3 linked regions of the Sus scrofa genome follow. The protein of the gene in region 2 interacts with the protein of the main gene of each other region in a pairwise test. Links are inferred from orthologs where the notes say so. Each region holds a gene or a part of one and is shown on either strand. Other genes may lie near its edges.

Region 1 (5,771 bases), on a different chromosome or scaffold from region 2:
AGTCTTGCTCCCTTGTCAACATGGTGCATTATGACATATAAATTTTCTATTCTTTTTTTTTATTACTCAAATGAATTTATCACATCTGTAGTTGTATAATGATCATAACAATCTGATTTCACAGGATTTCCATCCCACAGCCCAAGCACATCCCCCCACCCCCCAAACTGTCTCCTCCGGAGACCATAAGTTTTTCTATGTCTGTGAGTCAGCATCTGTTCTGCAAAGTTCCGTCTGTCCTTTTTTCAGATTCCACATGTCATTGAAAGCATTTGATGTTGGTGTCTCATTGTATGGCTGACTTCACTTAGCATGATAGTTTCTAGGTCCATCCATATTGCTAAAAATGCCAGTATTTCATTCTTTTTAATGGCTGAGTAATATTCCATTGTGCATATGTCCCACATCTTCTTGATCCACTCCTCTGTCAATGGACATTGAGATTGTTTCCATGTCTTGGCTATTGAGAAGAATGCTGCAGTGAACATCAGAGTACATGTGTCTTTGCGAGTTGTGGTTTTCTCTGGATAGATGCCCAGGAGGGGGATGGCTGTGTCAAATGGTAGTTCTATTTTTAGTTTTCTGAGGAATCTGCATACTGCTTTCCACAGTGATTGCACCAATTTACAATCCCACCAACAGTGTACTAGGGTTCCTTTTTCTCCACACCCTCTCCAGCACTTATTGTTTGTAGACTTTTGGGTGATGGCCATTCTGGCTGGTGTAAGGTGGTACCTCAGAGTGGTTTTGATTTGCATTTCTCTACTAATGAGTGATGTTGAACATCTTTTCATGTGTTTCTCTGCCATCTGTATGTCTTCTTTGGAGAACTGTCTGTTTAGATCTTCTGCCCATTTTTTGATGGGGTTGTTTGTTTTTTTGTTGTTGAGCTGCAGAAGGTGTTCATAAATTTTGGAGATTAATTCCTTGTCAGTCGATTCACTTGCAAAGATTTTCTCCCATTCTGTGGGTTGTCTTTTCGTGTTGTTTAGGGTTTCCTTTGCTGTGCAGAAACTTTGAAGTTTGATTAGGTCCCATTTGCTTATTTTTGTTTTTATTGTCAATACTCTAAGAGGTGGATCTGAGAAGATGTTGCTTAAATTTTCTATTCTTACAATGTCTTCGTATTCCTAGCATAAATCCAATTTGGTCAAGAGGCATTCTTTTAAATATATACTGATGAATTTGGTTTGCCAATATGTTTTTGGATTTTGTGTTTATGTTCACAAATAAAGTGTCTTTTAATTTTCTTTTCTTAACACTATCCTTGTCTGATATGGGTATCAAGTTTATGCTAGTCTATAAAATAAGTGGGAGAATCTTTTATCTTCTACTTTGGGGGGAATTTATGATCGTCAACATGGTATTATTTGCGTATCTGGTAGAACTTGCTGTCAAACTGTCATCTGTAGGCCTGTTTTTAATTAGTTTGTTTCTGTTTTTGTTTTGTCTTTTCAGGGCCACACCCGCGGCATATAGAGGTTCCCAGGCCAGGGGTCGAATTGGAGCTACAGCTGCCGGCCTACACCACAGACACAGCAATGCCTGATCAGAGCCACGTCTGCGACCTACAGCACAGCTCACAGCAATGCCAGATCCTTAATCCACTGAGCAAGGCCAAGGATCGAACCTGCAACCTCATGGTTCCTAGTCAGATTCATTTTCACTGAACCACGATGGGAACTCCTGCTAAAACTCTTTATTGCCAAGTACATGATCAATTTCTATAATACTTTCTATGTACTTGAAAAGAAAATGGACTCTCTAGTTGCTGGGTGCATGTACACACATACACATCCATTAGATCCAAACTGTTAACTGTATTGAGCAATTTTCCTAGGTCTTAACTAATTTTGCGTACGTCTGATTGACTCAATGAGAAATATGCTGACATTTCCCATCATCATGACAGATTCAATTTTTTTCTGACAGTTCCATAAATATTTTACTTTGAGATTGTGTTATTTGGTACACAAAGAACTACATTTTATAAGCTTTTATCACCATATTGTACCAATAATACCTTTTACAATAGAGTTAGTTTTGTCCAATATTAATTTGCTTTGTCAGTTTTTAGTTAATATTTGCCTGGATATAGTTTTCTATCCTTTTGTTTCCTTATTTCTCTATATCCCTTATGTTTAAGTGTGTTGCTCATCAATAGCACATCCCAATCTTTTGTTTTCAAGTGGTGAGTTTGGATTTATTCTAACTGCCGATACTGAATTTACTTTTGCCTCTTTGTTTCTTGGTACTGTTTACTGTTTTCTTTATGTCTGCCCCAATCTCCATGCCCTGCTTTTAAACAAAATTCCACCTTCTTCCTTTTCTTGACTTTAAAGTTATAGTTTTCCATTCTTTTTGTACGTTACCTTAAATCATCTTTTTACCTAAGTTTTTTCCATGTTGTTCTGCAACCAACAACACTTTATAAGAACCAGATGGGCTCTGGAGTCAAAGAGACACGGCTGGAATCCCAGTTCTTCCATTTACTATTAACCATGTAACCTTGCAGATGTTGCCTATGGTCGGTCCCCCAGCTTATTCCTTCAACTGTGAAGTCAGACTGTTATGAGGCTTACATAAAATAACCTATTTAAGAAGTGATGGACAACACCTGGATCAGAGTAAATGCTGAATAAATGATAGACTTTAGGATCCAAACAGATGCGGGCTTAAACTGTAGTACTATAAGGAAAAAAGGCCATTATTCTTTAAGAAATGGGGAAAGAGAGTTTAAATTAAGGGAAAAAAAAAAACCTTTTGAGCCCTAGCTACAATGTCTGAAACTTAGGTCTTTTAGTCTAAGATCAACTTGGTTATTACCATAAAATTAAACTTACCCTTTATGATATATGCATAGACAAGGCAGTCGTGCTATCGTATCTCCCTGCTGCAACTCTTCAAGGCATATTGAACATTCCCCAGCATCTTTACTCAGTACATCCTCTGAGAAAAGAGAAAAGAATTTAGGGTAATAGAACTGAAAGAATTATGTGGATGGTAATTTATAAAAAGGGGTAACTGGTATATTCTGTTAAAATACATAGAACTCAGCACCTACAACTGATAAACTACTCATAATCAACGACTAATATTTACCTTTATTATGGACAGTGTCTTTCACTTCCGTTTAAATTTCCCTGAGGCATTACAGTAAGGAAGAAGTGCACAGAATCCTCCTACTTGCAAAGGACTTTGCTATCAAACTTTATTGGTAAGTCAGTTATTTGTAATTTATTTTCCTTATCCTACTAATCAGTATTAATTTGGTGCCCAAGCTAGTTCAAAAAAGTGTATAAAATAGAACACGGCAGAAAAAAACAATACTATCATGAATTTTTAAAATTCTAAAATAAAATCATGTAAGTTATAGAAATCACCCCGAATATTAAACTTTAAAAAAATCTGCTTAATTCAAGAAAATGCAAAAGTAGCTCAAAGCTTTTATGTAGATTCTGAAAGGGACTTTTGGAAAGTTGAGGATTCCAGACAGTGGACTGAACAATTCTCCTTAATCCTTTTCCATGACAATGCCAAGCCTAATCCACGTACTCACGAGACTTATTTTCAGAAGGCCCTGAACAAAGTGTTTAAAATAACTGTTGTGAAATTCCTTATAAAGCAAAGATTCCTTTCGAAAAAAAGTTCTCTCAATTTATGTTTTACACCGAAATTTTAAATTGTTTTATTAATGTTAAATTTTAATTTTTAAAAGGATCTTGTGTAACAACAGAGTAAGCTTTGTGACTCTTTTTAAATGAGGAATAACTAAAACAATGCCGTTACTGTAGAGCATGGAGAAACTGCTCGACAGTATACAGTCTCGATGAGTTGTGAGAATGAAAAACAAAAGCAGGAACATGCAATATAAATTTATACCACAAATAGACATGTTACTGTTTTGGGAAGTGAAAAATCAAACAAGCTAAGGAGAAAGACTAAATCAATCTTTATCTAAATACTTAAAACACAGATCAAGGTAGGAAAGTTTCCTAAAATTATTTGTCTGGTGGTTCCACACCTGCTGCTAAAACCAACAAATTTCATCGTGCACATATCTGTAATAGTTCCTTGTAGAAAGTCCATTCTATTCATTTTGAGACAGCACATTAAGAGGAAACACAGACTCTATTTGGTCTATAAAAGGGAAAGTATCAGCAGATGTTTACCCATAAGGCTAGAGGGGGTACCAGAGCAACTTTCACCGGAAAAAGAGAGGCCTCGGCAAGAAGGTTTATGCTTTCAGATCTGGGGAATATGGTTAAAGTGATTTTAGCTAACTACTGGGTAGCTCACAAACTAATATATCACATCAGACTTATCCAGAAAAAGATTTCTGGGCAAGTATAACTGGATAAGTGAAAAGTGCTCTTTATTAATTAACACCCCCTCAAAAGTCCTTTCCCCATTTTTCTTTTCTGGATCCTGGAGATCCCAACCACTACCCCTGCCCCAACTGCAACTTTCCTCCTTCTTTTGACCTACATTTTTCTATTACTGTTCTGGATAGCTTTCCACAGATGGGGAACTAGTTTAAGGTAACACACCTAACTAGTGCTGAAATTAACTGGTACACTGGAACCCACAAAACGGGAGTCATTCCAGTGGCCCCGACCACATCACAAATCTGTAGCACAGTCACCCTGCACTTACGGAGAACACCTCACTGTCGAGGAAACTTAACACCATTCACGATGCTCCAACTCAGCTTTGGCTAGCTTTACCTTGCCCCCCAAAACAGGACCTGCTAAGCCTTAGAAGGAAACCCCTATTCTTCTGGCCAATCATGTCCTGTTTCTGTGGTGCCTCGTCTAAGGTCCCATAAAATTCACTCTTGCCCAAAATCCCCTGGAGAAGTGCTTGCTGAGCACTGTAGTCTTCCAATCTATGGACTGTTTTCTCCTGAATAAAGGGCATCAAACTTAAATTTTTTTAGGTTTTGTCATTTGACATTAGGATAACAGCAATGAAAACAAAAGTCTGAAGCAAACACTAAAACACCACAGTACAAGTCTCTAATTCCAAATAATATGGCATATTCTCACCACTTACGTTTTTTCACCACAACGATATCCAACATCATAATACGAATCTAAGTCTTACAACTAACTTTAAAAAATTAACCATTACTTTTTATCAAGTCTAAGACATAAATGATAATAAGATGCACCACTAGTTTAATATTCCCAGAAAAAAGGCTTCCATATATAAATCAATTTTAAGATATCTCACTTTCTATAGCTATTAAAAATTTTTAAAAAGAAGTATGTCCTAGAATTGATGGGAGAGGGTATCAAATTTTCTTCCTCTTGGAATACATTAACAATGCATATAGATTTAAATCTAAATGAACCATAAAACCTCAATTATCATAAATCAGTGAGACAGACCAGCTTTCAAAAAATACAAAGTACTGCCACATTTTTGCCATACAAGTCTATGTAACAGAGCCTCAACCATACACAAATAGGTAGAAATCTATTACATACTACAAGCTTCTGAATTCATTCATTCACAGAAAAATAAGTGTCTTATAATACTTTTATGTTGACCTATGACTATCAACTCTTGTTTCTTTATTGCAAGAGGTTTGTTTTAAAAATCTTTGAGTTGGGAATTTTTAGTATCTTAAAAAGCCTTGGTTTTATCCAGTTTATGAGAATTAATTAATTTACAGCGTAACAAAGACAAATCCAATCTGCATAAAATCATCAGAATAGCTTGTATTTTAAGAATATAATGATATGCTTCTCAGTTACTAAGTTTAA
Region 2 (5,013 bases):
TAAAACTTACATAGTGGCAGTACTAGTTGATTTATAGTAATTTAAAATTTGTTTCTCTTGTGGCTCAGCTGGTTAAGGATCTGGTGGTGTTACTGCAGTGGCTTGGGTTTGATCCCTGGCCTAAGAACATCCCCATGCCGAGGGTGTGACCACAAAATAAAATTTCTCATCACAGGTACATTTTTTAGTTAAAAAAAAAAAAAGTCACTCAGAAGATATGGTTAAGTCATCCCCTGCTTTCACCCAGTTACTGAGTATTTATCTTTTAGGTTTTTAACATGGATAGTTTTACAATTATAAAAATAATAGACTAGATCTTGCAGTCTGCTCCTCTACTGAATGCAGCCTAGACCATATTCTTTTTATTAATTAATTTTAGGGCCCCACCTGAAGCATATGGAGGTTTCCAGGCTAGGGGTCAAATTGGAGCTGTAGCCACCAGTCACAGCAACACCAGATCCAAGCCACATCTGTGACCTACACCACAGCGACAGCAACGCCAGATCTGAGCCAGGTCTTCAACCTACACCACAGCTCATGGAACACTGGGTCCTTAACCCAGTGAGTGAGGCCAGGGATCGAAGTTGTGTCCTCACAGATGCTAGTCAGATTCATTTCCACTGAGCCACGACGGGAATGCCCATATTCTATTTTTTTGCTTTTTAGGGCTGCACCGGCATCATATGGAGGTTCCCAGGTAGGAGTCTCATCAGAGCTACAAGCTGCCAGCCTACACCACAGCCACAGCAAGGCCAGACCCGAGTCACGTCTGTGACCTACACCACAGCTCACCTCATGGCCAGATCCTTAACCCACTGAGCAAGGCCAGGGATCTAACCTGCAACCTCACGGTTCCTGGTCGGATTCGTTTCTGCTGCACCATGACGGCAACTCCTCCCATATTCTTTTTAAATGCTCAGTGAATGTGTATGCACCCTCACACTGGCCTGGGGTGAGTGGACAGGCATATACATGGAGCTACTGCCTGAATGCCCTCTGATGGGGCTGTAGTACTTCTCCAAGAGAACTCACTTCCTGTGTACTACCACCACAGCATCTGCACACTGGAAAATGCTTTTAAAAAGATGCAATAGAACTCTGTCTTGAAAGACAGTGAGTTAGATTATTAAACTTCTTCTAAGACACCTCAAAATCTACCCTGCAGGGCTACTGGATAAACTAAGAGTACCAATCCTAACACAGGTGCTGGATAAACAGTACCAGAGTATTCAGTCTGCATTACCTCTCTATTGCTTTAGTAGCAAAGACCTATCAAGAAGAAAAACTACAGGAGTTCCCGTTGTGGTGCAGTGATAACGGACCCGACTAGTATCCATGAGGATGCAGGTTCCATCCCTGGCCTTGCTCAGTGGGTTAAGGATCCGGCATTGCAGTGAGCTGCGGTAGGTTGAAGATGCAGCTTGGATCTGGCCTTGCTGTGGCTGTGGTGCAGGATGGCGCTATAGCTCTGATTTGACCCCTAACCTGGTAACTTCCATGTGTTGCAGATGTGGCCATAAAAAGCAAAAAAAAAAAAAAAAAAAAAAAAAAAAAGAAAAAGAAAGTACAAAGTAAGAAATAGAAAGTAAAAGAAGACAGTGTTAGGTGGTCGTTTTAATATTGTTTATTAGCACAGTAACAAATGCAGACTTAAGTAGTCCACAACATATAACCAATCCACTGGGCAACTCCTAGTCCACGCCTTACAGTTAACAGCTTAAGGTATTTTACTACAGGTTTTACAGGTCCTGATTCAAACCTCTACCTTTTCACAATAAAGTAGATTGGCATATAAAATAAAATATATAACTACTCATTTCCTACGTGGTGTCTTAGAGTTACACGTCCATTTTCTATATATGAGATGACAGTCTCTAAAAGCTGTTAAATATCAACGTTCCCTTACAAGAAGGGAAAACAGATTCCAATTTTTTTTAAACAAAAACGTGTGTAGTCTTGAAGGACTTTACATAAATGGCCCTGTGTGTGTAACCTGTAAAAAATTAAGCTGTTTTTAAATTTACAGACTACAAGCAACTGAACCCAAATATCTATTCTCTGTATTGCATTTCAGCTAATATTGCAGAACTAATGACAGTTTTAAAAGTTGCTATTACCAATTCTGTCTACTGTAGCAAGATACCTTAAGTTACAACAAAATCTTAGGAAATAAAACTGAATAATATCTGTTATAGAAATACCCTACTCTTTACCAACTCCCACCCTCCCCCACCCCTTCAAAATCATAAGCAGCTCTCTGTGACAGACAAATAATGTAAAGAATTGTGAAAACCCAATTTATGTAGCGTATCTCTTGGTCCACTGTCTGGCCATTCTGTCATGTTCTGCTCTGTTGGTCATATACTGAGTGGCAATACTTCCCACCAAGGGGTCGGCTGGAAGAAAAGAATGTAGATTACTTTGAAGAAAGAGCAAGAACACTTTAAGTTTTAGCAAATAAGTTAGCGACATGCTCGGGAAGAAATGTAAAAGCAGTTGTGATCAAACCACTCCATTCTGGATAGTTTTCCTTCTAGACTTTAAAAACCAGCATGTGGGGAGAAAAAAGCACACAAAAAAGCCCAGCATGTGTGCAGGGGGCTATCCTAATCCAAACAGAGTGTACACGCTTCAGCACTGGTCTGGGTTCATCTCCTTCCTCACTCCATTTCGTGTCCAACAATGATTCCCCAACCCGCACCCCCACACTGGAGGGTTTTGCTCTTACATGTTAGGGTACGGAATGTTCGAGGCCCTAGACTACGGTGAACATCAGCTGTATTCACGTGACCTTTTGCGAATGGCATCAATTATGACACTGAATACTGCGATGTCCTCAAGGCTATTGCAATACAACACTAGTTACCTCTATGCTATTTGCCTAGAAAGGGCCAAACTTTCACTAAGTTTAGTATTTCTCTGAAACTCAACAGAATTTTAATAATTTATATTTGGTTTATCTAGGGGAAAAAGTTTTAGTAAGAGGAAATTAAGCCTCCCTGCCACTCTGCCCCCCGCCCCCACCTCCCACTGTCTAAGTTTATAGCAGAGAAAAAATCTCAGAACTGACCGCCACTTTAGTGAGCAGCTATCGACTCACAGGCAGTGGTGAGGCTACTGGGGCAGGTAACTCAACATTTCCAAGTATGCGGTTGTTTTAAGAGAACTCTTTGGGAAACAGGCAAAAGAGGGGGGAGGAGAGTGAAAGACTGAAAATGTTAAAACCTAACATTATAGGTCTTATATTAAGTCCTCAGCTTAGACTGAACTCTGGATTACACATTCCTTTGAAAACCAACCAGGTTTTGTCCTTTGAAAGCTTGTACAAAAATAAAATCTGAACTTTTTCTTGAGGAGGAGTAAAATAAGGTAAAGAATTATTAACCTTACCAGGATTACAGTCTGTAAGAAGTGAGCAGATAGAAAGAAGAACTTTAGAGATGGTGAGGGCTGGGCTCCAATTATCTTTCAATATGTCCAAGCAAATAACTCCTTGACTGTTAATATTACAGTGATAGATTCTTGTCCGAAATGTAACCTAAAATATAAGGCACTGTTAAATAAAATTTAAACAGCCAGCAACGTAACTTTTTACTAAATTACCTTTTCAGTTTAAATTGCCCTGATTAAAACTTCTAAAGAAATACACGCTTAATTTTTAAAAAAGTAAACACAGTTAACAGTTTAACTAATTAAGGCTGATAAGAAACAAGTTAGAGACTTTTTTCCTTTTTTTTCTTTTTAGGGCTGCACCTGCGTGGCATATGGAAGTTCTCAGGCTAGGGGTTGAATCAGAGCTGTGGCCACTGCCTACACCACAGCCACAGCAACGTGGGATCTGAGCCATGTCTTGAGAGCTACAGCTCGAGGCAATGCCGGATCCCTGGCCCACTAAAGCAAGGCCAGAGATTGAACCTGCATCCTTATGGATACTAGCAGGGTTTGTTTCTGCTGAGCCACAACAGAGACTATTAAAATTGAGATTACCAAGTGTGCATTGATAACACTCTCAGGGATTTTCAATTTCATTTAAAAATAATATCCATCAACAAAAGGCAAGGTAACTTCAGTATTTCTGGATTTCATCTTTAGCGGTTTTAATGTTTTAAATATCTTCCTAATGCTTCCAGTTTGAATAGCTAATTGTTTGCTGACCTCTAGTGTTAGCTGGTAGTACTACATGGCTCCAAAGCAAGCTTTAAAGTCATAATCCAAAAGAAGAACAACCAGTGGGTCCATAAAGACAAAGTGCTTAGCAAACAATGATCACATACCCTAAAAGCTGAAATATCCACTTGAAGAGGTGTTTCTTCTTTTTCTCACCTTTAAATCAGACCATGCAGCTATCTTGCCTGACTCAAAGCACAGAATTCACTCTACTGGCATCTCCACAGGTGAGGAACCAGAAATGGTAAGGACCACAGACAGCAATGGGCAAATCAACATAAAGGCACATGAGCCTGGGTTATTTCGTATGGTCTTCCAACTGTTATTTGTGATACACTGAATCATTCCAAAGTAAAAGTAACCTAAAACATTACCACTTTTTAAAAAATGGCAGACTTTTAATCACTTCTTGCAGCTGCCACTGCACCTTTATTCAGGGGTACCCTATCCCCAAGAGGAGGTTTTCCTTCTGACTGTGAGAATCACAGTGTGCTGCAGAAGAGTGACTGGAGCAGTCCCCTCCTAACCTAGATGAGAAACTCAAAGCTGGGTAAGGATTTCATGAGACAGGAAAATGATGAGGAACAGAATCCAAGGCTTTGTCTGCCAGGAGTTTCTGATTCTCTATTTTAGTGCATGGATATTCTGACAACATTTTCATCTGTTCAAAAAATGTCTTTGCAAAGGAAAGGGGATTATTTGTGGGTTGCTGACTATGAGCAGGATTTTAAACAAAGCACTTAGTCTTAATGGTCTCTGCCAAATGAGGCAAAGTCAACCCAAAGAAGCGTTTTGTGTATGTTCAAATGTATTTAGAGATTTGTCAAGAGATAAGAGAACTTGGGA
Region 3 (4,787 bases), on a different chromosome or scaffold from region 2:
CGTGTACTGGGAGGTCACAGGCAGAGGAGGTGACAGGGTGGTTTGAGCAGTTGATGAGATGGATGGTTCTGTGGCAAGGGCACTGGGTGGGTGGGATCCTCTAGAGGCATCTACAGCTGACTCAGGTTCCAAAGGGGCAGGAGGCTAGAAGGAATTGAGCAGATGCAGTGAAGGAGATGCAGTTCCTCAAAGCGGGGAACTGCGGGCCCCTTGCTCAGAATCTGAGCCAACCACTATCGGCCCTATCCTCCCAGAGCAGAACAAAGCTCACCCGAGGCCGGTGGCAGAGGGGTGTGTTGGTAGGAAGGTTGGTGTCATCAGGGGAGGGTTGAGAAATCCTTCCCTCACCTGCTGGAGGCTAATGAAGTACCGGTTACGCTCAGCCTCAAGGTCAATGATGCCCCCTCTCTCCTGCTGTCTCTGGTACAGCCTCTTGCGTTCTGCTTGCTGGCGCAGGCTCTCTGCATCAGGTTGGTACAGCTCCTGGGGGAAGGGAGCAGAAGGGCATGGAAGGCAGAATAAAACAGAAGGCAGACCTGAAACCTTTGCTCTTCCAGGACTGCCTCAGGAGATGGGCTCAAGGTTCTTGGTTTTATCCCTCAGAACTGGGCTCCTGAACAAAGCTGTGTGCACCGAGTGGGGGCCGTGGCTCTGCAGAGAGGGCCCAGGTAGCTTGGGCCCAATACCAGACATCTTATTCGAAGCAGACAAGATGCCATTACTCTTGGCTGAGATTAAGAGGGTTTCCTTACCATGGGCTGTTGGGGTTCGGGGGCTGCTTTCAGTGAGGCGAGATCGTACACGAGCGGCTCTCTGCACACTGGGCACTGCACACCCACGGCCTTCTGAAAAGAGAGGAGAAATCACAGGCCTGCTTCCCAGCCCAGGGCACTTGTCAGCTGCCCAACCCTATCCGCCAGCCTCACCTACAGAGAGCTGGGACAGAATGGCACAGCCACACCTGATGGTAGTGAGGTGGGCCAGAGCAGAGGCTGCCTACTGGAGGTCTGGAAACCTTCTGAAACCACGTGCAATACTGTTACATGCACATAAGGATGCCCTTGTTCCAGGACAGAGGGGAGCTTTCATTAATCTCCAAGATACCCAGGACCCTGAAAAGGCTGAGAAGGCCTGGCAGTGGAAGGATAGAAAAGGTTAGGCGAGCTGGCCGTATCAAGCCAGCAAGGGGCGGCGGGGTCGACCTGTTTAGCTGCGGCGTGCTGCCGTTGCTGTTCCTGTTCCCGTCCCTGGGCCTGCAGCTCGTGCTCCATGTGCTGGATGTACCGGGCCAGGCAGTGGCAGTGGAAGTAGTGGTAACAGGGTGTTTTGGTAAAGGCTTCCTTCTCCTGGAGGGAGGGCACTGCATCAGAGCTCTCCCGAGCCCTCCACTGGCCTGAGCAGACCCCAGGTCCCAAGAGAGAAACCCACCTGGAAACCATAGAGGCAGATGACGCACTGGCCGTGGGGGATGTTGTTATCTGTAAGGATTTCCTTCCCTTTCTGCGGGGAGAGAAGACACTGTTTAAACAGGGAGGCGGCAGCCAGAACTATGAGCAAAGCTCATTCTCCCAGCAGTGACCTGCTGGACTGTTCCCACCAAGCCAATTTATCTCACGTTCACACGATTCTTTTTCTTTAGGGCCGCAACTGCGGCACATGGAAGTTCCTGGGCTAGGGGTCAAATCAGAGCCGCAGCTGCCGGCCTACACCACAGCCACAGCAAAAAAGGATCTGAGCTGCATCTGCAACCTACACAGCAACACCGGATCCTTAACCTACTGAGCGAGGCCAGGAATCAAACCTGCATCCTCATGGATACTAGTTGGGTTCTTAACAGGCTGAGCCACAATGGGAACTCCCCGTGTTCATGCATTTCTGTTTTGATTTTTCTTTCTTTCTTTCTTTCTTTTTTTTTTTAAGGGCTGAACCCGTTGGCACATGGAGGTTCCCAGGCAAGGGTCCAATTGGAGCTGTAGTTACCGGCCTACACCACAGCTCATGGCAATGCCAGATCCTTAACCCACTGAGCGAAGCCAGGCATCGAACTGGCATCCTCATGGATCCTAGCTGGGTTCTTTAACCACTGAGCCACGATAGGAACTCCTATTTCTGTCTTGGTGATCTCCCTCTGCTTGGAATTAATCCTCTTCCACATCCTCGCCCTCCCCCCAAATCTGCCCAGCTGCAAAATCCAGTTTCATTGTTTTCCTACTCATTAAGTCACCGTTTATACATCTTGGGGATGGAAATACAACACCTTAGAGAGAAAAAAAAATGTTCAAATAAAACTCATATCCTCTGGGAGGACTTTCCGGGTTATCCCCCTGCTCTGGAGTCAGCTTTCAGAAAGAAAGTGAAGGCACTGACACCCCAAACGGACAGAGAATTCACAAGGCATTGGGCTGAGCTATGAAATATGCATCTGCGATACTGTTTGAATAGCTAATACTCTGGAATTCCACCAAGTTCAAAGCTGCATTGTGGAGGCCTGACTCAGAAGCGCTACAGTGGTCTTTGCCCACTTGGACTCCAGGCCGCCCACCTTCATTCTTTTCTGCATATCTTCTCAAAAACGCAGAGGAAAACAAGACTGTATTTGTATTTTCTGATCTCAAACAACCAACGTTACCTGTGTATTTTAACTCAGAGCTCTAGGTATGGTTTCCTGTGGGTCGTTTCCTTCACTAGGGTTCTCTGAGTAAAAGAACCAAGACCTTCTAGTTGGCCAATGGCCAACTAGCCTCCAAATGTTCATTTACGGCTAGACCCTGTAGCCAAGGTCCAGCTGAACCAAGGTCAAGTGTTCACTTATGGCTAGAAGCTCTAGGCAAGATCTCTTACTACTTTCAGCTGCCAACGCCAAGAGAACAAGAAATGCACTGACACTGCAGCAAGAAAAGATGCAAGTCAAAGAGGAGAAGTAATTTTCTGTCAAGATGCTGGAATATACAGCAAAAGTTATCACAACCCTGTAAACCAACTATATTTCACTAAAACTTCAAAAAGATGCTGGAATAGTTAACTTGGCAAAGCGAAAGAACTGTCTTTCGGGGAGACTTTTTGTAACAGAAGAGCATTTCATGTCTCTGGATCAGTTGAGGCTTTACCTAAACAATAATTAAATGAATGTCTCCAGATGTGGTGGAGTCCAGGCCCATGGTCTCCCTTGAAAGAAACTGCTCTCGCTGGAAGGGAAGGACTTTTTCTAACACACTTCTCACCTCGATGAGCTCATAGAGCATGGCCGTACCCAGTCCAGCCTCAGCCACATGGCTCAGCGCCTGTGAGATCCTGGAGAGAGAGAGAGACAGCAACGCAAACATTAGGCCTGCCGCCTGCCCTCACCAGACTGGGCTGTATCCCAAGCTTCCCCTGCGCTGACCAGCCCGACCTACTTGTGGATCTGTTCATCTGAGAGTCCTCGGGGGTTACGGATAGAGATCTGTGGCACCTCATGGGGATACTAAGAGGAGAAAGTGACAAGTTACTGCCAAAGCACTTCACCCTGGGGCCTCTCCCCTGCCTCCCATTGTTGCCATAAAGTCGAGGCCTCACCTGTGCTGGAACCTGAAGCACCAGAGTGAAGCAGACATACTGCGAATCCTGGTCTTCGGCAGTGGCGGGGTGCAGGGTGATGGAGATCTCCCACGGTGACGATCTGCAGGTGGATGGAGTGGAGACCTGGGATGTGACTGGGCAGGGGCTTGAGGGCTGGGGAGGATGGTGGTGAGAAAGGAAAGCGGCCAGAGGAAGTAAGCATCGGGCTCTTTCTTGGGGGGCATTAAAGGAATAGTCTTTGTCTACATGACAGAAATATCTGAATCCAGGCACTCAGATACTTCATGGAGTCCTCTCCTTCCCAAGGGGACTCCTGCCCACCTCTAGTTAAATACATACCTGCTATTTCCTTTAACCACCTGTAGTTCATCCAGGTAGATTGACTCTAACACTTCAACTTCAGAGGGAAGGACCCTAGAGAGACAGGGGGAGACTGACTCACCATGACAGCTCTCCCTGTTAAACCCCACCAAGGCCACTGAAGACTGGCTCTGCAGAAAAATGGCAATCGGCCTGAGTGCACTCTCTTGTTAACCTCCATAAAGACAGATGGGGGAAACGTTTCCTTAAGCTGTCAAATGGCCAGGTAGGAAGCATGGGAATCAGAGTTTTGGAGATCATTTCTGCCAACAGATGACGAAACAGAGTCCCAAGAGGGTGAAATGACTAGCCCAGATCTCCAGTCTTAACAAAGGCAGAACTGGGACCGGGCCTAGGTTTCTCGACTCCCTGTTTAGGTTTCATCACACTGTGGGTTGTTCCTTTGGGGTCAGTTCTCTAACTCAAAAATATGATGTCCATTGATGAGAATTAAGGCTACTAATACCTGGCCTTCCCTACGCTGCTGTTCATGGATCCCAGTGTCTATCTATGCACACTGCCAATACCAGTCACCATTAACCTCCTCAAAGGAGAGACCCACCTGAACAGAACAGAGCTATGTGGTATAAAGGCTGTGCTCTAGCGGAAAAGCCATCAGTCTTGGAATCAGTAATAGGTACCAATCACTTGCCAGCTACGTGATCTGAGTAGTTATTTATACCTGTAAGCCTGAACTACCCTGTCCACCACATACAGATATCACCACCTACTCTCCAGGGTTATTGTGATGAAAGGTGATTGGTTTACGTAAAGTAAAATAGTATCTTGGCCATAGTAACTAATCTATGTCCTGTTTTTCCCCCTATTTATATATAACTTTCTCCCTTAAAAGGAAAGAGAGGATGTAG

The links. The genes of interacting proteins can lie anywhere in the genome.
Region 1: the proteins of ubiquitin-conjugating enzyme E2 E1 (region 2) and ZNRF2 interact in a two-hybrid assay, tested with the Homo sapiens proteins (2 studies listed by BioGRID). The link is inferred for Sus scrofa from reciprocal best matches to the Homo sapiens genes UBE2E1 and ZNRF2.
Region 3: the proteins of ubiquitin-conjugating enzyme E2 E1 (region 2) and RNF25 interact in binary tests that used the Homo sapiens proteins (3 or more experiments, as listed by UniProt). The link is inferred for Sus scrofa from reciprocal best matches to the Homo sapiens genes UBE2E1 and RNF25.

Annotation. Positions count from the first base shown.
Region 1 is NC_010460.4:42,559,904-42,565,674, forward strand, and holds part of ZNRF2 (E3 ubiquitin-protein ligase ZNRF2), read right to left. Parts: intron 2,950-5,771; coding exon 2,844-2,949; intron 1-2,843. UniProt on the Homo sapiens protein: E3 ubiquitin-protein ligase that plays a role in the establishment and maintenance of neuronal transmission and plasticity. Ubiquitinates the Na(+)/K(+) ATPase alpha-1 subunit/ATP1A1 and thereby influences its endocytosis and/or degradation.
Region 2 is NC_010455.5:10,680,408-10,685,420, reverse strand, and holds the end of ubiquitin-conjugating enzyme E2 E1, read right to left. Parts: intron 3,539-5,013; coding exon 3,391-3,538; intron 2,397-3,390; coding exon 2,299-2,396; 3' UTR 1,602-2,298; downstream 1-1,601. UniProt on the Homo sapiens protein: Accepts ubiquitin from the E1 complex and catalyzes its covalent attachment to other proteins. Catalyzes the covalent attachment of ISG15 to other proteins. Mediates the selective degradation of short-lived and abnormal proteins.
Region 3 is NC_010457.5:120,712,747-120,717,533, forward strand, and holds part of RNF25 (E3 ubiquitin-protein ligase RNF25), read right to left. Parts: intron 3,973-4,787; coding exon 3,898-3,972; intron 3,659-3,897; coding exon 3,556-3,658; intron 3,464-3,555; coding exon 3,396-3,463; intron 3,292-3,395; coding exon 3,222-3,291; intron 1,501-3,221; coding exon 1,429-1,500; intron 1,347-1,428; coding exon 1,203-1,346; intron 846-1,202; coding exon 753-845; intron 484-752; coding exon 349-483; intron 145-348; coding exon 1-144. UniProt on the Homo sapiens protein: E3 ubiquitin-protein ligase that plays a key role in the RNF14-RNF25 translation quality control pathway, a pathway that takes place when a ribosome has stalled during translation, and which promotes ubiquitination and degradation of translation factors on stalled ribosomes.